Linked DNA regions of Rattus norvegicus. The protein of the gene in region 1 interacts with the protein of each later gene in a pairwise test. Links are inferred from orthologs where the notes say so. Each region holds a gene or a part of one and is shown on either strand. Other genes may lie near its edges.

Region 1 (5,040 bases):
TTTTGTTTTAGACAGTCTTGCTACTTAGCCCAGGATGGTGGTCAACTTGTGATCTTCCTGCCTCACCTAAATATTTCAGGCATGTGCTTCCATAACTGGATCAGCTAAGTCCTCCCATCCCTCCAGCCACCAGCCCTCCCTTCTCAAGACAAAAGAGAGTAGATTGGGGTTGGGGATTTAGCTCAGTGGTAGAGCGCTTACCTAGGAAGCGCAAGGCCCTGGGTTCGGTCCCCAGCTCCGAAGGAAAAAAAAAAAAGAGAGTAGATTTACATCAGACAGCCCCAGGAGCTGATGGGGGTGCCCTGGGATCGGGATCATGACATGAAAGTTGAGATCCTCGACATGTATGATATTGGGGTTCTCCTCCTGGGACACTGAACTAGAAGAAACCCAAGGTTACCTGACTTCAGCATGCTGGAAGTGTGGGCTGCTTCTCGGACGGTATCTTGGGTCATTGACAGCCGCAGTCTCCTGAGCCATTACAGCGTGTGGGTACTGAGGTGGTGGCCCACGGGGCTCCGGGCCCTCAGCTGGGGGTCCTCGGGGCTGGGGACCTTGCTGGCTGCGGGCCAGCTGAGGGAAACTGTGGGAAGAGCTCATGTGGCTGGGGACCCGGGCACCATTTCTTTCCAGGGACAGCTGCAGAAGTCGTTCACTCAAGGAGCGCACATGGCCGTGCCTCAACTCTCGAAGAGCCTCATCCTGACGTCGGCTGCCTCCTGAGGCCCCTCTAGGATCCCGGTCCCCACCATGCAGCCGGGAGCCTGCCTGCTGCGCTGCATAGTACTGCGAATGGGCTTTGGCTTCCTCATAGGTGGGCAGCTCTTCTCCCTTGCTGGGCTGTGGGCAGAGTCGGTACAGCCTGTTCTCTGCCAGGTGGGTCTCTCCACCCTGATGCTCCTGGCCCTGGGGCTCCTGCCTGGTGGCCTGCTGTAGCACCTGACTGTCCTCGGGTGCTCCGATCTCCAGGGAGGCCTGGGGGCTCCCTGTGCCCCCAGCTCCAGCCCCACCCCGCAGGGCCTGCTGCTGGATGGCCAACAGAGTGCGAGTCTCTGTCAGGTTGCCGTAGCGCAGCTGCTCCTGGATGAGGCGGTGCAGGACTGTCCCTGAGGAGTCTTCCAGTGTCCTCATGCTTCTCTGGCTTGCACACACCTGCCTAGACAATGGCCAGCAGGCACCTGGTCTCAGAGCACCTAACAGACAGAAAGAATAGCAGTCAGTGGAAGCACATACAAAGGAGGGAGGGGCACTTGCCAAAACACTCTGGATGAAGGAGAAGGTGAGATAGTTGGGTGGTTTTACACAGGCCCAGATCCAAGTGCCAATATGGCCATCAATTGATTAAGTTTAGTTACTGAGCTTCTGATCTTAGTCTGCCGTGTGTGTGTGTGTGTGTGTGTGTGTGTGTGTGTGTGTGTGTGCCTCTTGGGAGTTGAAATGTAAGAGGTAGAACGCCTGGCATGCTATAAATCCTTGGCAAATGCTTACCATTCTAAGGACATGTATGGAGACCACAGAAATACAACAGAAAACCTGAAGGTTATCTAATAATCACACTCGCCTACAATCAGCCACTACCCCCAAACGCTCTCACGAGTGACCCCAGGACAGGTGTCCATCAAATTCAACCACTTAAGCAGTAGGACCTCAGTTTACTCGCAGAGTGGCCAAAGACAGAATGTAGCCCAGTAGAAAGAAGCCCTAAGCAAATGACTCCATTGACTGTTTCGAATGAGGAGGCTTGAGCCACCATAGTCCACCACCCTCCACTGGCTTCTCTTCCAGGAGTCGGACCCTGGGCTGCAGATAAAATAAATCCTTGTCACAGATGACCTTCGCAGTCACTCTGCAAGGTGAGCAGCCTGAGAAGCTGCATGTGAACTGGTGAGGCAGAGGTGTGACTGCAGTAATTGAGCCAGCAAAATATTGATCCTCCTCCTCCTTTCTTCACACACACACACATACAAACTTAGAAAAGCCTCTACTTGTACCCTAGAGGTACACAGGGGATGACCCTCTGTATCTCTGTTGATATTAGTAACGACCACCTATGCCAGTTGATGGGGTAATGAGGTGAGGGGGAAGACGAAGGAAGGGCTCGTGGGGATGTGGCCCCTTTCTCTTCCGTGCTATCCCCAGTGTGCAGCCCCACTTTGGGAATGATGTGTTGGCAGAGCCCTGAATGGTATGTTGGTAATGAGCCCCGAGGGCACCCAAGCCGGCAACTAATACCCCCACCCCCACCCCAGCTGCACCCTACAATGTGTAAGACTTGAGACTGTTCGCACGCAGCTTTTTCTACGCGGCATTTCCTACGTTAATCACTGTCTGGGCTGACTCCCGCTAAGGAGGATCCGGGAGCGGCTAGAAGGAATGCAAAGCCTTCCCGACAGATTCCAGGCGCGCCAACTATGAGCCAGGCTCCCCGGGAGCACGGAACATTTCCGAGGCCTCTCATCACACACACGTCCCAATCTAATCCCCTAGATGCACAATCTTTCAAATTCTTAGGGTTGAGCAATTTCTAAAAATCAGCTTCCTTACTCGGACGTTGTACCTGGGCTGCTCTGGAACACTGCACTCGGAAAACCAGCTACCTTTCTAAGCAAACATGCTTCTCTGGCCTTGGCTCGGGCTCCCTCCAGCAAAAAGAACCAACGCTAGTCTCTAAGTCAGCCAGACCAGGGTTCCCGCGTTTCCCACCTCCACCGAGGTGGACCACTAGCACTGGTGGTTGCCCGAGTGCCCCGGGCAAGCAAAACCCACACCCGCGAGAGGTCTTTAAGCATCGCGGGTCCGCCTCTCTCCCTAACCCTCTTTGTTTTCCAAATACTTCAGCGCTGACGTCACCGGACTGGACAGCAGGCTGCATTCTTTCTAAGTGAGAGCCAGTTCGTGGCTCCGGAGAGGATTTTCCAAGGAAGACAAAGAGGAATTCTTGATCTAGCTGACGGTAAAAGCCACCTGTATCCCCAATCTAGACAAAGCAATCACGGTGACCCCGTATTCGGCGAGATATGCCTACAGCAGCTATTCACTTGCCCCGTACGAGACGCACACTCCCAAACACTGATCCTCTGTCCTTCCTCCAGCCCCAGTGGGTCGGAGAATCGTGTCCTCACCCCCACAAAAGCGCGAGCAGCCTAGGCTAGACAGACACCCAGGATCAATCCTCGAAAGGGTGCACAGTGTCCCCTCCCCGGGGAGGCTCCTCCACTCCAGCTCCGATCTCCAGAAAGAGTCGGGCTGATCGCGGTGTCCGGGTGCCGCTGGGAAGCGTCCCCGCAGGCTTCGCGCACTACCCGGAGCGCCAGGCGCCTTGCTTACCGCTGCGGCCCGCGGCTGCCGGCGCACGCAGACCGGGTTCGGCTTAGGTACGGTCGGCAACGGAGGTGCGCACTCGTCGGTGGCGCCGACGATCTGCTTGCTCGCGCCCCAGTGCGCAGCCTCTAGGTCAGCCCGCGCTGGAGGCGGCTGCTATGCCAGGAATGTGAGAGTTTCAGGTTCCCCCTCGGGATCAAAGCGAACCACAAATAACCTCTCAGCGCGCCGCCCTCCTCCGCTCTCCGCCTCCCCCCGCCTCCTGGCCCAGCCCCCGCCTTCCTCCGGGGAGGCGGCGCTGCGGCCGGCGGCTGGGCTGGCCTCAGCCTTGTCCCCTTGTGCCACCCTGGGCTCTGGGGCCGTACGGCATTCCCTGCCTTCTGCCTTGCTGTCCTAGCTGTTGGGGGTGTCTTAACCAACTGGTCCCAAGATCGCCCCACCACTGTCCGCACCCGGTTCTCACCCGTCATCCTTACATGCACCGAGGGACGACTTCCAGGGATAAGCCTCGAACGCCCGGTGGTGGCTGCAAGAGGGGTCTGTGGCTTTTTGGAGATGGCGGGAGGACTGCAAAGCACTTTACATCCGCCCAGCTTGGGCCGTGTTGCAGGCGAACCAACCGATGCTTCGGCCCGCAGCTGCCCAGCCTCTTTCCTAACCCCTACTATTTCACCCCCCAGCGGCAAACTTTGAATTGCACTTTTATTGTTTACAAACACCTTCGCCAGCTCTTTTAGATCCCGCCTCTACAGGAAGTGTGTGAATCTGGGTTGAAAATCTGGTGGATTTAACCCACTACCCAAATGAATCAGCCACTCACTGGGCACTCTCTCTAACTTCTCCCCAGCTCCGTTCAGCTTTAAGTCAAGCACAAGGCGGGTCACCACTTGCTCTTTACTCGGCCATAAGATTCTAGTCACTCTCCAACCGTGCTCTCATTATCTCTGTAATAAATAAGAAACCAAGGCTCAGAGAGTTTAATAACTTACCTAGGGTCACACAGAGAATAGCTGATGAAGCCAGGACTCTTTTCTTGGTCTTCGGAATCCGGGTACCCTAGCCTGATAAGGCGGGCCCAGAGAGTCTCTGCTTCCACCTACCTGTCCCCAGTTCCAATCTTTTCCAATTTGTCTACACCTAGCCAGCCCTCTTTGTCTTCCCCTTCTCTGGCTTCTGGTGTTCTACTTTAGTGTGGAATGGACTCCTCTGTCTGTCATTTCTGACTCCCCTCCTCCTCCCTCCTCTGGTTAGAGCTCCCGGTCGGCATGCATTCCTTCCTCAATCCCATTCACCTAGAATCGGCCTAGATTTCTGCCGTGGGCTGGCCAGGTCCTCCCCTCCTTTCCTCAGCACAGCGATCTCAATTCCCAACTTTGCTGGAGTAGACCAAGGATGGGAAACCTTTCAAACTCAATAGCCAGGGATGTGACTAGTTTTGCATAAAGCTTTCCTTTAAGAGTGTGTGTGTGTGTGTGTGTGTGTGTGTGTGTGTGTGTGGCGGGGATTCCTTAGGAGTTAACCACCCTTGCTGCCTTTACAAAGGATGTGCCTACGGGTCCCAGCACCCACCTGGTGGTTCACAAGCATCTGTAACTCCAGTTCCAGGCTATCTGATAGGCAGTTCTGAATTATGCTGGTACCAGGCACCCACGTGGTTGTCGATCACACATGCAAGCAAAGTATAGCATACCTATAAGATGAAGTAAATAAAAGTCTAAA
Region 2 (5,167 bases), on another chromosome or scaffold:
CTGTAGCTCTTTAAAACTCAGTCCCTCAACTGGAGATATAGCCCAGGGGTAGAGCACATGCCCAAGCTGTTTACAGCCCAAGGTTTGACAGGGAGTAGGAGGGATGTGACAGGGACATGTCACATGCTCATGCACATACACAAAACCTAGTTCTTCACATTTTTTAATCTTCCAAATCTGAATTAAGTCATACCCAAAGGATCTGTTCAATACCACGGTTTGAGGGAAAAAAAATGCAATATGCAAGACTCGGTAGAATAGAAATAATCATAGGAAAAGTAAAACTGCAAAATGCATTCAAATGATTTACTTGCACTTTAAAAATTGACTTTTAGTTTAAATTACTATTATGATCTATGTAAATTATGTTATTTTCTAGGCTGAGGTTTTTTAAACATGTTAAAGGTCACAGCATCGGGCTAGAGAGATGGCTCAATGGTTAAGAGCACTGACAGCTCTTCCCAAGGTCCTGAGTTCAAATCCCAGCAACCACATGGTGGCTCACAACCATCTGTAATGAGATCTGATATCCTCTTCTGGTGTTGGTGTGCATATATATAATAAATAAACAAATACTTTAAAAAACCACAACATAAATCTTAGAAGAGACTCACAACACATGCAATTTGATAAGAATCTGGCTCCTATTAAAACCCAAGAGCCTAGGCTGAACCAATAGCTCAGGGCCTCTGAGCATGTTGTGTTCTAGCAGAGGAAGAAAGCTGGGTTCCCAGTACCACACCAGGTAGCTCACAACCACTTCTAACTCAGCTCCAAAACATCCAGTGAGTGCCCTCTTCTGTGGGCACCTTCACTCCCATACCTGTACCTATGCACAGACATACACATAATTGATTAAAAATAAAATCTTAAAAGTACATATAAATAATACAAAATTAAATAAAAATGAAGAAAACAAGGATGCTTGAATATAAAAATGCTTTACTCCTGGGCTACACAGCAAGACCCTGACCTCTACATCCCACAAACAAAACAACAGAAAAGCACTTCAGCTCTACGAACTGTATATAGAGTATAAATGTGACTCTTACCCTACTTCATGTTAAACTGGCTAATTTTGAAGTTTCACCCATGTCCCCAGCAAGGCGGATGACCTCAGAATTATTTTTCTCATCTCAGGTAGGTTCTAACTCGACATTCCTTCTGTCGGTTTGGACATTCTTACATAAACAGCACACAAGCTGAACAGCAATATGCTCAAAATACTTCATCTTCTATCTTCATTTCCATATTTTATTTTTTGGTTAGCTGTGATGCTACCCACATCTCTCCCTGTATCTGAGCTTCCTCTTACCTCACTCCTAAACTTGTATCCACCGAGTCTGGGTTTTGTCTTCTTTGAAATCTCTCACGTCTACATCATTCTTTGCCTTTTCAAGCTTCTTGGTCTCCCAACCAAACTTGTTTTCTCATCCTTCTATAAGCCTTGAACTCCGCCCTTTGCACTTTTTCTTACATTCCTTCTCCTATATGAACTTTCCACCTTAACTATCCCAACCCAAACTCTTCAAAACAACACAGTGGCTCTTTCCCCACTAAATGTGCTGACCACGTAGTTCTAGAGTCTGTCCTCTGCTCCTAACAACAGCATTATGTACATTCAATTGTTTGTTTAGCAACTTAATCAAGTGGTAACTTACAACAAGCTTTTAAAATATTTTTATCAGTTCTTTGAAAATGTTAATCTGAACCACCGCCATCCCCCTATTCGCCCAACTCCAAGTCCTCTACTTTTTCTTTTTTGTAAAACTATGGCGTTCAATCTGGTTTGCCTGCCCTGATGTGTGGTTGACCTACCAAGGGTCATACTAACAAATGCCCTTAGCTCTGCTAGTGGTGGAACTACCATGCCCACCTCTACCCTATTGGGATTTCTGTCCGGATTGAGCCTGCCCAGGTCTTGTGCACACTGCCATAACTACAATGAATTCATGTGTTCAAAAGTCCTATTGAGTAAGCAAAATACTGTTCTTCAACCGAGATAAAATAACTATAAATGTTTGCCTCGTGCTGAGTGAAAACTCTCCCTCATAAATATTTACTTTTGGATGGCTGACTTATTGACATTACCTTCTTCCATTAAGAAGTATACTCTGACAGACAAACCTAGAAAAAAAGTGTGGAATGATACCACACTGTCATTAACCTATTATCAATGCTTCCCTTTTCATGGCCAAACCAGGGTTAGACAAAGAAGTCATTCTCAGTCTGTCATATGTTGGAATAACAAGTATTAAAGACGCAGAAGAAATCGCCCGAAGTTACAAAATAATCATCGCTTGAAGATTCTGGGAATGTCAACACTGCCCACATGGTCCTGATTAAAACCTGACAATGATTTGAAATTATTCCTCAGGCTGGTCCTTTGTCGGTCTTGAAAACTTTAGAGAGCTACAAAGAACCGGAGAGTTCCCAAGTCAATCCCCTCGAGACCTCTGATGACAGTACTAGCGACAGGCTGATCTGCAAGTGAAGGTTAATGAGTTTCAAGCCCGCCAAGGACCAAGGCAAATCTATCCTCAGTCCGCACACATGCAGACAAGGGTTGGGGAGACTACTAGTAAAGGGTCGGTGGTATGAATTAAAGGGCATTTCCAGTCTTCCAGATCAGCAAGCCGGACATTCCACTCCCCAGTCGGTAGCCCCAGGGTACCGCCAGGTGACCCTAGGGCGGGTCCCACGGTGCACAGAATCGCCTGGGGTCCCCAAAGCCCGCAGGCGCTCAGCCTTCCCGGGACCGGGAGCTGGAGCCCGCGGCGCCCCGCAGCTCCGGGTGCCAGAGGCCAAGCCAGTCCCCGCCCCTTCCCCATCTCCCCGCCCCGCGCTCCCAGCAGGACGCGCCGCCCGGCGTGAGCACCGCGGCCTGTCGCGCGCCCGGCTCAAGGGACCCGGCATCCCCGCCCAGCTGAGTCGCGCACCTGAGCTGTCCCCATCCTCGGAGACCGACGAGCTCTCGGTGTCCTCGTCTTCGGAACTGCTCCCCTCGTTCTCCGCGTAGTCCACCTCCATCTCATCGTGATGATTCGTCTCCTTCTTATCTCCTCGGGAATGGACCGGCATTTTCCAGCCGCGCCGTCGCTTCCCACTCCCTGCTCCCAGCCCGGCCACTGCCGCTCCAGAGAAGGGCGCGCCGAACGCCCCGACCCACCCGGCCGCCTCGCTCGCTCCGAAACCCTCGACTCCTCCCCACCCCCGGCCAGAGCCTCACAACCTAACCCGCAGGCTGTGCGCTGCGAGCTCAGCCATTGGTGAAAACTGTCCCTGAGCTGGAGGCGTGGCCTGCCTTGCAAGCGAACGATTGGTTACCCGTGATTACGGCGCGGCCTTCCGCTGAATGTCGGGAGTTGTAGTCCTTAGGCCTCAGAGCTTCACGGGCTGTGGGTTTCTAAGGTTCAACTGCCTCAATCACTTTTAACTTCGGACTTCAAGTCCCACAAGGCAGGAAAGCTGGCATACTGGAACGCAGTTTATAAACTAAACAGAAACAGATTGCGCGGATTTGGTCTGTACTTATCCTTTTCCCGCCAATTGGTTATTTAATCTGCCCAGCTACTCAAAATGTGAAAAGAATGTGAAAAGGTCCTTTGCTTGAAAAGGTTTTTGCACACTCTATGAGCATGGAGGGCTGCAGAATCGTCTCTTCTACATTAGTATTACTTTTATTACGGCTAATAAACTTAAATTGAAATGTAGATGTAGGAAATAATTCGTACTTTGTAAATTTTCACAGAGAAATTATAATTGTTCTTGAAATTTTTTCAACCAAAAAAATAGAGGGAAAGGAAGTTTTAGTATTTCAATTTTGCATTCTTACATTTTTTTTTTTAATGGAAGAAGCTACCCGTTGATTTAATTTCAGGTTCCGATGAAAAATTAATGTTTGACTTAAAAAGGTGTCTTTTTTTTTTTCAAAGATAGGATTACACAGACAAGGATGACGCTGTAACTACCATAATAATCGTAACTTATAACTGACCACTTTCACTCATTATCAGGTTATCTTGGTAAGTTCACTGTGTGGGTTAGATGAGTTGATTTTTTTTGTCAACAAAATATATGGTTCAAGTATTAAAGGGACATCAGGAAGTAGAATGAAGCTTAGTTGTTCTGGAACTTGCTCTGTAGATTGACCTTGGCTCAGAGATCTGCTTGGCCCTGTCTCTTGGGATTAAACCACACCTTGACTTAAATTTAGCTGAGTAGGATCTGTTATAGCCTAGAACATAGATTCTACTCCCCGGTGCCCCTTTAAATATTTTTCCTTTCTCAGCTTGCTCCTTTTCTTACAGGTTCAGAGGTTCTGTCCATTACCACCAAGGCGGGAGCAGAGCTGAGAGTTCTTCATCCTCATCTGAAGGCTGCTAGGAGACTGGCTTCCAGGGAGCTAGGGTGAGGGTCTTAAAGACCACGCCCATAATGACACACTTCCTCTAATATGACCACACCTACTCCGACAGGGCCACAGCTCCTAAAAGTGCCACACCTTGGGCCAAGCATATTCAAACCATCACCACCACCACCATTTCCCGCATTTCAGATGCTCTCGTGCTCCCAGACAATGACTACGATCTGTACTTAGTCCTTTTTTTCTTCTTCTTTTCCTACCAGGCTATATTCAGCCACCGTGGGCTACCTATAGGACTGTGAGTTCCTTGAAAGCAAGGGTTGTTTTAATCAAGTGTGAAAATACAAGGCAAAGCACAGCTACTGTGTGTGGGCAGCTATTATGTTGCAACCTGCCAGTTGCTAGGATCTGAGACTACCAGCATGTTTGTCCAGACAGAGTCTTGCTGGTCTTGAGTTCACTGCATGGCCTCATCTTCCTGAGAGCAGGGATTCTGGCTCCTAGTCTTGGGTTCCGCTTCTCAAATGCAGATCAAATAAAAACAGCTGTTGGCAAAAGCCCTTGGTTCCAGTTAATCTTTGTTATATCAGTAACCAGAGAGTGTGTGCTAAATAGTACTGAGATTTCTAGTGGCTACTTATGCCTTGCACTGTTGGGTACTTTAAATAAGGTGGTTCATTTAATCTCCACAACAAATCTGAGAGTTAATTTTACACAGGAGGAAACTGAGGTACAGAGCAGTCAAACTACCTCACCAAGGTCATACGGGTAATAGATAACAGGTCTCAGCTTTGAACGTTA
Region 3 (5,141 bases), on another chromosome or scaffold:
ATGTGTGTGTATGTATGTGTATGTGTGTGTGTGAATGTGACTGTATGTGTGTGTATGTGTGTGTGTGTGTGTCCACTTGTTTTAATCATATTCAAGTCTCCAATCAAGTAAGAATTAAAATGGGAGTTGGTTGTGTGTTTTCTGTGGCCTTTCCAATCCCTTCTGATTAATTTGATTTAAAGAAATGGCGCAAGTTCTTCAGCAGAGGAGACATTTTCAGTCAGAAAACGAAAGGGAGTCTGTGTGGAAGCTCTTGCTCCAACCTAGGGAGTGCTCACCATCAGCCCCCTCATCTCATCAGCTGGTGAGGCGCAGCCCACAAGGGTGTGTGGAGGAAGCAGCAAAGTCCGCTTGGACACGGATTCACCCTCCAGAAGGAATGTTCCTACTCAAACCAATCAATAGGCTGAATGGCTGGGGCTCAGAATAATTGCCCTCTTAATCAGCGACTTCTGGGAAGTTATGTGTGAGTCCCATAACCCTGCAACCTTCTTTCTCTTTCCCAGGGTTGGGGGGAAGGGGTGGGGGAAGGAGGAGGCAGCAGGGGGAAGGGAGGGGGGAAAACACTCTCAGGGAACCACTGCACTGATCTGCAAGGTGACACAAGCTTCTGCATCTGGGACAGATCGGTGTCCTAAGAGGCAGCTCCTGCAGGCATCCTCAGGAAGGCAGAAGCAGAGTCTCCTGGTGGTATCTAGCTGGCCTCAGACAGGAGAAGCAGGCTCCCACACACAACAGGCCAGGTATTAAAAACGGGAGTTTCTCAACAATTTCAGTTTTTAAAAGCATTTTTCAACCATTTAGATGCTAATACTTAAAAATATTTGCAAGATTTCTATAATAAGTTTGCTTTTTTTAAATAAGGCTAACCTAGGAGTTCCTGGCAGTTGCAGGCTGCTGGGAGCCAGGACGAGGTTCTATGACCACGGACAGGTTGTCCACACCCCCATAGTTGGCCCCACACCCACAGTCATACAGGCAACACTAATTAGATTCAGGTTTTTTTTTAAAGAAAAATGAAAAAGGCATGAAGTTGTGTGGGATCTGGGTGCAGTTGGAGAGGCGAGTCTGGGAGGATATTACATTGCATATTCACGGATGAAATTACCCAAAAACACTATTTAAAATATCTTTAAAAAAAAAACACTCCGAAATCAACTGATCCACCGCCTACCGATACTCATTTACATATTCACCTACTGACTATACTCAGTTCTCAAATTCTTGGTGAGTGGGTTTGTGCACCTCAAGACAGGGTCTTGTTACACAGCACTGGGCTAGACTTCACTCCTTACTTCAGCCAGGCTGGCCTCAAACTTGTCCTGATCCCCCTGCCTCTGCTTCCCAGCGGCTGGAATCACAGGTGCTCACCAGCCTACCCAGCTCCACTCAAGATATTTCAATAGACTGTAAACGTAAGTTCTAAACAAGGATAAACTTAAAAGTAAAAATAAAAAAAAATTTTTTAAAGAGCCTGAAACAAAGCGTTTTCTTTTCAAATTCATCATCATTGGAACAAGCCATTGTCTTTTCTCACCAGTGTGACTTACTTTATGCTCCCACAGCTGCCTTGTTCAGCGCCTAAATTATTCATATAGATTGTAAATATTCTTTATTTGTATACGGGGAGAGAGGGAAAAACCCGCCAGGGCAGGTGCAAGACCTGAAAGAACACCCCTTCCTCGTCCTTTTTGTTACCTCTGTTTATTAAAAAGAAACCACCACCACCACCACCACCCCCAGAAAGCCTTTAAGAAGTGCCTCTAGTGGTAATTTCTAGAATGGAATAAAACCATATTTCCGTACAAAAGAGGGGGAGGGGAGGTAGGAAGGTGGACTGTGTCATTTCTGAGGTGACACTGCAGCAGGGGAGGAGTCTCTTGAACTCTATAAAAGGTTAGCGCCACAGCACCGTGAGACAGGCTGTGTGCTCCAACTCCAGGCTACAGGTGTTGCCTCCCGGGATCAAGATGGACTTCAGTCGTCGAAGTTTCCACAGAAGTCTGAGTTCCTCCTCACAAGGCCCAGCACTCAGCACGAGTGGCTCCCTGTATAGAAAGGGGACCATGCAGCGTCTGGGGGTTGCACCCAGCGTCTACGGTGGGGCTGGAGGCCACGGCACCCGCATCTCTGTCTCCAAAACCACAATGAGCTACGGGAACCATCTCTCCAACGGAGGGGACCTGTTTGGGGGCAATGAGAAATTGGCAATGCAGAACCTCAATGACAGATTGGCAAGCTACCTAGAAAAAGTGCGCTCCCTGGAGCAATCCAATTCCAAACTTGAAGCCCAGATCAAGCAGTGGTACGAAACCAATGCACCGAGCACCATCCGGGACTACAGTTCCTACTACGCACAGATCAAAGAGCTGCAAGATCAGGTGAGCCATGAAGTCCGTGATTTCTACCTCACTGTTCAGTTGCCTAATAGATTAAGAGAGATGTACGCTAGGTGAATTCAAACACATGAAGCAGATTAGGTCGGAATTTATAACTGAAAAAATGCATCTTATCTCGTGGTATCTGTCAACAGGATGGGTTTAACCCATGCTTTTTCTAAAACTTCAACCTAATTGCATATAAAATATGACCATTTTATCATCCAAGATCGCAGCCTATATCTTTGTCTATGATTTACAATATAAGGTCTTCGTTGTGAATGATCTTATTTTTTTCAGAGACCTGCCAGGGTTTCTGTGAGTTTGCTACTTGTCTTCACTAACTCGGAAGACTCAAGTCAACTTGAAGAGATTTTTCATCTTTCGTTATATGAATGTTATAATAAAAGTATTAACCTACTATGGGAATAAATAACAAAAGGCTCCAGGGTGGACACAATACAGATATTAATGATATCTATACTGATTGATAAATGGTTGGATGATAGATGATTGGATGGATGGATAGATGGAAGGAAGGGGGAGGAAGAAAGGAAGGAAGGAAGGAAGGATTGGTCTTTGATACAAGATCTGTGTATCCCAGTTTAGTCTGGACCTCACCATCCTCCTGCCTCCACTGCCTCAGCACTGGGATTAAAGAAGTGTGCTATCATGCAACAATTCTGATACCTGGATTTTTTAATGCCTTGTTTAATTATCTCCTCACTATCAATAAGCATTTTATAATGCATCTGTGCGATAATGAAATGTTCTATTGCCCCCAATTCAACTTTATTACAGTCATATCACCATCTGCTCCTGTATCATCCACGGTAGGTGGGGTTCTCCTTTTTATAAAGGCAATGGCATAAGAGTTGGAGACTTTGCTCCTGACTAAGGAGGTCAGCATTAGCACGTACCATTGGCTTAGCTCCGGGGTTCTTATCTAATCAAGAAAGGCCTCCCCTTTGGTTTTGTTTATATCTTAAAGTTATTACCCCTTTAGAGCAAAGACCTTTGACTGAGCCAGGGGCCTCTTCCTGGGTTATATGACAGACATCAGTGCAGCTTAACTTCAGACTTTACAGACCACCAAGCTATGGTGCTCACATTACTTCATCACCAGGACCGTACTTCGGGCTTTTTGATACAACACAAAATTCAAATTAAGCACTTCTCACAAGGTCGATGCTTCTGAATTGACATGGGGATTTTCTGTGATACTGAGGCACAGCCCTCAGTGTCCAGTAGTTTGAGGCCTATCGAGTGGCCTCTCGCCAGGAATAGCCACTGAGAGGGATATGCCACTCTACTATCTTCTAGAAGTAGACTTCTAATTCTCATCCATCTTAAAGAACACGGTGTTTGCCTTGAAACACGAGAACCTGAGTTCAGTCCCCAGATTAAAAAACAAAACTGGAGAATGTGTGCTTGTACTCCCTGCGATGGGGGAGTGGAGACAAGCAGACCCCTGGGACTTGCTGGTCATCCAGCCTGGCCTAATTGGTGAGCTCCAAGACACTGAGAGACCCGGCCTCACCCCCCAAAATGGTAGCACTTAAGGAATAGCATGCAAGGCTGTCCCTTGACCTCCGCATACGCACACACAGAGAAAGATGCACATGGATCCAGGGTGCACCCATCCTTCTGTCCTGTGCCTAACTCGCACAGACAGCAAGTTCCCATTCAGCCACTACTGCATAGACACCGGCTGGGTCCTGAGCAACACACATGGCGAACAATGACAGCACATGAAGTGTCTGACGTGAAACAGGCCCGGACCAAAGAAACCATCACTGAAAGGGTAGATGCAGGGATGCTGTGGGGGCAACAGCAGCAGGGGTGCATTCGCTGCCAGAACTGGAAGATGTCATGGGGTGGGGGACTTCGAAACAGTGTTGTCTGAGCTGAGGGGAAGGAGCTCGAGCTCACCAGGTAAGAAGGGTTAACAGCAAGGCTCCAGTGTGAGCAGTGTCACAAACAAGGCGCTCAAAAAGGTCCAGCGATGTGGGTGACTTCAGCTTTCATTTCGTATGATCAGAAAAAAACTAGGCCAAGCCACTACACTAATTCCTCTGTCACTGTTCCTCTTGTTCTCCCACGGTCATTCTTGAAACGAACATCACTTATGATGGAATCACAGTTGTCTCTGAGGACCAATGAAATTACCTTACACTCCTTCCCAAAGGGAAAATGTCATTCTTTTTTCCTCTCACATTTCCCAGATTAAGGATGCTCAAATAGAAAACGCCCGATGCGTCTTGCAAATTGACAATGCTAAGCTGGCCGCAGAGGACTTCAGATTGAAGTAGGTTCTCTAAATGGTGTGTGTGTGTGTGTGTGTGTGTGTGTGTGTGTGTGTGTGTGTGCGCGCGCGCGCGCGTGTGTGTGTGTGTGCTGTGAACAGATGCCATGACCAAGGCAACTCTTATAAGGACAACATTTAATTGGGGCTGACTTACAGGTTCAGAGGTTCAATCTATTATCATCAAGGTGGGAACATGACAGCATCCAGGCAGGCATGGTGCAGGAGGAGCTGAGAGTTCTACATCCTCATCTGAAGGCTGCTAGCAGAATCCTGACTTCTAGGTAGCTAGGACTAGGGTATTAAAACTCCCACCCACGGTAACACACCTACTCCAACAAGGCCACTCCTCCTAATAGTGACACTCCCTGGCCCAAGCATATACAAACCATCACAGTGGGGTGTCATTTGGGTTTCTGTTTTTGAGATAGGTCCTTGCTTTGTAATACAAGCTGGCC
Region 4 (4,975 bases), on another chromosome or scaffold:
GCCTGTCACTCGTCCCTGTGACGGTCCTTCCAGCCATATCCACAAGACTTCAATTTTCCATCTCTAGAGTCCAGCCAGATAAGTCCTGGACCAACTCATTCATTCAGCCAGCCAGTCATTTGGTCATTCATCCAGTCATCCAGTCAGTCAGTCAGTCAGTCAGTCTGTCAGTCAGTCAGTCGGCCATAAACAGTCTCACGTGGCCGGGGCTGACATTATAGCTGAAAATGACTTTGAATTTCTGATCTTGCTGCCTGTACCCTCTGAGTGCTCGGATGACAGACACGCACCATTGTGTCTGTTTCATATGCTTCTGGGAGTTGGACCCAGGCCTTCACGACTGATAGGCAAGCGCCTTACCAACTGAGTCACAATTAGCCCAGTGCTTTACATATTTTTAAATATATTACATTTATTATTTATATTTTTTATGATGCATTACGTGTGTGCATCCACTCAAACCCACACCATGGTTGGTGCACATATGGAGGTCACAGGGACAACTTTAAGGTCTCAGTTGTCCCCTTCCACCATTTGAATCCTAGAGCTCAAACACAGGTGTCAGGCTTGGTGGCAAGTTCCTTTTCCCACTAAGCCATCTCATTGTAAAAGAAAATCAATCCCTTGCCAACATGGAAAAGCAGAATCTTTCTCTCTCTCTCTCTCTCTCTCTCTCTCTCTCTCTCTCTCTCTCTCACACACACACACACACACACACACACACTTACACACATACACACACACTTACACACATACATACACACTCACACACACTCACACACATGCACACTCTCACACACACACACAAACCCACTCACACACACACTTACACTCACATACATGCACACACACACACTCACACACATACATACACACTCACGCACACACTCACATACACTCACACACTCTCTCTCTCTCTCTCTCACACACACACACACACACACACACACACACACACACAGGTATTTTTAATGTCAACTTTTGAAAACTCGGAGCCATGGCCCCCCTGATCTGATACGGTAACGGTGGTGTCAGAGTCCACAGGTGGCTCACCTTCTGAACCCCCATAAAGTACTAGGTGTATATATCAAGGTCCAAGGCAAGAGCCTCTGGACGCCAGGCTAAAGTCGTGTAACCAGGGTTAGACCTGGGCTCGATGCCCAACGCTGTGAAAGGAAAACCCCTCGGATGCCTAGGTCAGAGTACTCTAGACCCTCTGGCTGGACACGCCCTGAAACTTTTCTCAGAAAGAGCCACATTCTCACCACGCTCTCCTCTCACACCCCTTACATTGGCTGCTCAGAGAGTGCTTCAGAGGTGTATAAGCACAAAAGTGATCACCTCTCCTTGGCTCCTGCATCCAAACCCAATTCCAGCTCTGAAACGAACCAGCCGCTCTGAGTAAGAACGTTTTGAGCTTGACTGCCGTACTTCAGTTAGAGCCCTCCAGCCTTTTCCTATTCAGGAGACCCTACTTACAGCCTGTTCTGGAATTAGCACACTGGCGACCTGGGGAAGGTTCTCCCGTCCCAGGTTTATCTTTCGATTTTCTTCTAGTTCGACTAATTGCAAGCACTTGCCCACTAGGTGGACCCCCAGGGTATAACACCAGACACATCATCCCCCAGGTCCTGAAGACTGAACCTCCAACACTTTGTTGAGCTGCATTTTTAAAGCAGCAGACGGCGCTAACGAGTTGTTTTCCAAGTTGATATCAGAGACATCTTTCACACTTCCTCTGATTTCCAAGTTAGATGGCAAATGACGGAAGCACGAATGTGGTGGAGGCTCAGTGTGGACTGCCCCCCGGGAATGAAGACAGGCATCAGATTTCAAAATTCAGTCGAAAGAACAGCTTCGTGGGTCACAGCCATCCGTTCGTTCCTCCGCTGGCAACCTTGGGTGAGTCAGGCAAGTTCAGTTGGCTTTTTGTGAAAAAAAAAACGTTACTCCTCGATTCTACCTACTCAGGGATCCTATGACATCATTAAATTCCAGAAAAGTGGAACTGATTAACCAAGTCAAGACTCGTTTACATCAAGGCAGTGAGTTCCTCGGAAAAACAAAAACAAAGCAAAAAGTGGAAAGGGGCGGTGTGTTTCCTGAACTGGTCAGGAACCCGCCAAAGGAGATTTACCATATATTGCCTATCTGTGCTGTGGGGGCTTTATTTGGTTACGGGGTATTTTACCAGCTAGACCTCATCGTTAATGCCCTGTGAAGGCGTCCAAAAGTCCAACGGCGAATGGTACTTAAGTCAGTGTGCCTCGGAGATTATCTGTGTAGTTACTGTGTGCCTGGGGTAAATGGAAAGGGATCCACTTAGTGAGATGTTCCGGGTGGGGGCCCGCGCACTCGCTCTTTACTTTGGGGTTTGCTTTCTTAAAAAAAAAAAATGAGAAAGGAGGCGGGGGGGGGGTAGAGTGAGGGAGTCATTCGAGCCCAGATCTCACAGTCCGAGCTCAAGGACCTCGCCACCTGCCACATTCCGTATTTGGGCAAGCGCGTGCGTCACTGTCAGGAATATGGCTCCCTTTGCCAAGGCCGGCACTAATTTTACGTGTCTGTAAACGCGGGGAGTGTTTGCCACGTTCCTTTACAATAGCCAACCTGATGACTGACTTAAGAACACGCCGCCAGATGCCTTGTCTCCCGTTTCCTTATGTCTTTTGTACATCCCAGGAATTGGGGGGCGGGGAGGAGAGCTGGCTGGCTGGCTAGCTGGCCTGTTCACTGGAAGCAGAAACGACAGAGAGCTACCAGCTCAAGATGCTTCGGGGAGTGCCCTCTGTGGCTCGCTCAAGCCTGAGCACCGAAGATGGGTGGGCGTCCCAGCCCGGCGCACCGGGGACCGCGGACCCTCAGGTCCTCGGACACCGTCGCCACTTCCCCACGTGGTCGGGGACGCAGACCGACTAGGTCTAGCCTGGTTTCCCAACCGTGTTACGCAACAACTTTGTAGGGGTCGTCTTCGCCCTAATTGTGTCGGGAGCGCTGTTTGGGTTGCCGTTGCGGCGCGAGAGGAGCGGAACATTTCAGTCGTGGCGCTGCACGGCTGCCGCGCCCCTTTCCCGATCTCAGAGGGACCATGGGCACAAGGAGGCCAAGGTCCCTGCCACGCCCGGGTCCCCATAGCCTTCACCCGGAGTTCTATTGGCAACAGGTAGCCCAGCCGGCTGTGACTCTCCGGGAAACAAAAAAAAAGGTGCTGCACAACCGAGCGAGCGCAGCGACCCGGAGGGCGCTGCCAGTAATGGGCAAAGGGGTCCTGGGCTCCTCCCAGTTGTGCCCTGGTTGCTCCGCGGTGCGTCCCGTTGCGCAACAGAGCTCTCGGAGTGGGTCCCCACGGACAGAGGGTAGCAGCTGCGGCCGCGGCCAGAGAAGGACGCGGACTGGCGGTGGCGCCGCGGCGGAGAAGACGGGGCGGGGCGGGGCGGGGCGGTGGGGAGCCCGCCCCTGTCGGCGCGGCCAGTGGCGGCGGGCCGGGGGCGGGCGCGGGCGCGGCGATTGGGGCGGCGGCCGCCCGTCACGGCGGGGCTGGCGGGCGGCGACGTAGCGCGGCGCTCGGAACTGACCTACTAACACACATCTCTCGGCGCGGCCACGGCGCCCGCGGACCCGGCGCGCCCGCCCGTCTCCCGCGCCGCGCCCTCGCCACCACCCGCTGAGGGCCGGGTGGAGCTCGAATCGCGTCTCGGAGCCGCCAGCCCGGTACCAGCTGCCCTTTCTTTTCTCCTCACGGACTAGGGAGCAGAACCACGGTAAGCGCTCCGCCCACCGGCGGCCCGGGGGGCCCAGCTCCGATCCGTGCCCGCTCTTGGAGCGCGCGGCCGGCTGGCGTGGGGCGCGGGACGCGTGCGGGCGCGGCGCAGGGCTGGCGGGAGGCGGCGAGTGTGCGCGGGGCATGCATTACATAAACTTTTGCTGCCTTGGCAGGAGGGGGACTCGCCACCTTAAGGTAGCTGCTTTGATTGCAGCGCCCTGGCGCCCGCACGTAGCCGGGGCTGCCGCGGGCTCCCTCCTCCTCCCCGCTATTGCATAATGTCTCCGGATTTCAGGAAAATTGATGTTTCGGTGGCGAAGAGCGCGCCGGGGAGGCGGAGTGGAGGCCGATCCTTTTAGCAGCCTGACGTGCCCTGCTCTCCGGGGTCTCTCCGCGCTAGTCCCCAATCCGGGCCGGCCAGTGGGAGGGTTGAGTCTTGGGGAGCCGTCTTGATTTGCTTAGGAGGGTTGGGAGTGCGAACGGTGACGGCAATCGGAGGTGCCTGCGCGGCGTTTGTTTGTGTCAGGCGCTGTGTCGGCACCGACGTTTTCCAACCCGTTTGTCGTCACCGTGTTTTACGAGCCCTCGGGAAGGTGGAGGGATGTGTCCTTTCTTACGTTGCATAATGGGCTAGCGGTGAAACGTGGGCACCGAGGACGAGCTGATGTGAGAATGTGCGCCTATGTGTGCAATGATTTGGTCATTTTAGCGCAGCGTTTGGTGCCTCTGTATCGTCCCAAATAAGCATATTTTAAAAACGAGTCTATGAAATTCATTATTAAGAAAGGAGAAATCCTAGTGTTGGACACTAATGCGCGCGGGAGGGCGAGTTGGGGGGGGGGGCTCCTTAAATGTTCCGAGGTGTTATTTTTAAAACCCGGAGGAGCCATTGTGACGTTTGCCTCCCCACTTTTCCCAACCGTTTCATCAGCTTTTTTTTTCTTCTCACCTTATCGTCATTGGCTTTTTTTTTTTTTTTAATAAAGACACCACAAGACAAATCATTAATAGATTCCTGGAAATGTGAGGTTACGTAACTGCCGAATTTGCTGGCTGTTGAGCATAGAAAGGGAGCTAATTACGTGATTTTATAATCTTGCCACAAAGAAAGTAGGGCAATCTCAGCGTTTAAGAATGTCACAATCAACAGGGGTTTTGTTGGTTCTTTTAAAGGATATTTTAAGCCGGAAAGTGACGACCAACTAAGCTTTG

The links.
Region 2: the proteins of Amotl2 (region 1) and Brms1l interact in binary tests that used the Homo sapiens proteins (3 or more experiments, as listed by UniProt). The two-hybrid records come from large-scale screens. The link is inferred for Rattus norvegicus from reciprocal best matches to the Homo sapiens genes AMOTL2 and BRMS1L.
Region 3: the proteins of Amotl2 (region 1) and Krt20 interact in binary tests that used the Homo sapiens proteins (3 or more experiments, as listed by UniProt). The two-hybrid records come from large-scale screens. The link is inferred for Rattus norvegicus from reciprocal best matches to the Homo sapiens genes AMOTL2 and KRT20.
Region 4: the proteins of Amotl2 (region 1) and Nfil3 interact in binary tests that used the Homo sapiens proteins (3 or more experiments, as listed by UniProt). The two-hybrid records come from large-scale screens. The link is inferred for Rattus norvegicus from reciprocal best matches to the Homo sapiens genes AMOTL2 and NFIL3.

What each region holds. Positions count from the first base shown.
Region 1 is NC_086026.1:112,181,001-112,186,040, reverse strand, and holds the start of Amotl2 (angiomotin-like protein 2), read right to left. Parts: upstream 3,416-5,040; 5' UTR 3,328-3,415; intron 3,219-3,327; exon of another isoform or gene 2,558-3,218; intron 1,194-2,557; coding exon of another isoform or gene 1,132-1,193; coding exon 401-1,131; intron 1-400. UniProt on the Homo sapiens protein: Regulates the translocation of phosphorylated SRC to peripheral cell-matrix adhesion sites. Required for proper architecture of actin filaments.
Region 2 is NC_086024.1:78,999,840-79,005,006, reverse strand, and holds the start of Brms1l (breast cancer metastasis-suppressor 1-like protein), read right to left. Parts: upstream 3,205-5,167; 5' UTR 3,082-3,204; coding exon 2,940-3,081; intron 1-2,939. UniProt on the Homo sapiens protein: Involved in the histone deacetylase (HDAC1)-dependent transcriptional repression activity. When overexpressed in lung cancer cell line that lacks p53/TP53 expression, inhibits cell growth.
Region 3 is NC_086028.1:84,887,082-84,892,222, reverse strand, and holds the start of Krt20 (keratin, type I cytoskeletal 20), read left to right. Parts: upstream 1-1,937; 5' UTR 1,938-1,970; coding exon 1,971-2,381; intron 2,382-4,603; coding exon 4,604-4,686; intron 4,687-5,141. UniProt on the Homo sapiens protein: Plays a significant role in maintaining keratin filament organization in intestinal epithelia. When phosphorylated, plays a role in the secretion of mucin in the small intestine.
Region 4 is NC_086035.1:12,430,605-12,435,579, forward strand, and holds the start of Nfil3 (nuclear factor interleukin-3-regulated protein), read left to right. Parts: upstream 1-1,771; 5' UTR 1,772-1,902; intron 1,903-2,724; exon of another isoform or gene 2,725-3,163; intron 3,164-3,559; exon of another isoform or gene 3,560-3,761; intron 3,762-3,780; exon of another isoform or gene 3,781-4,975.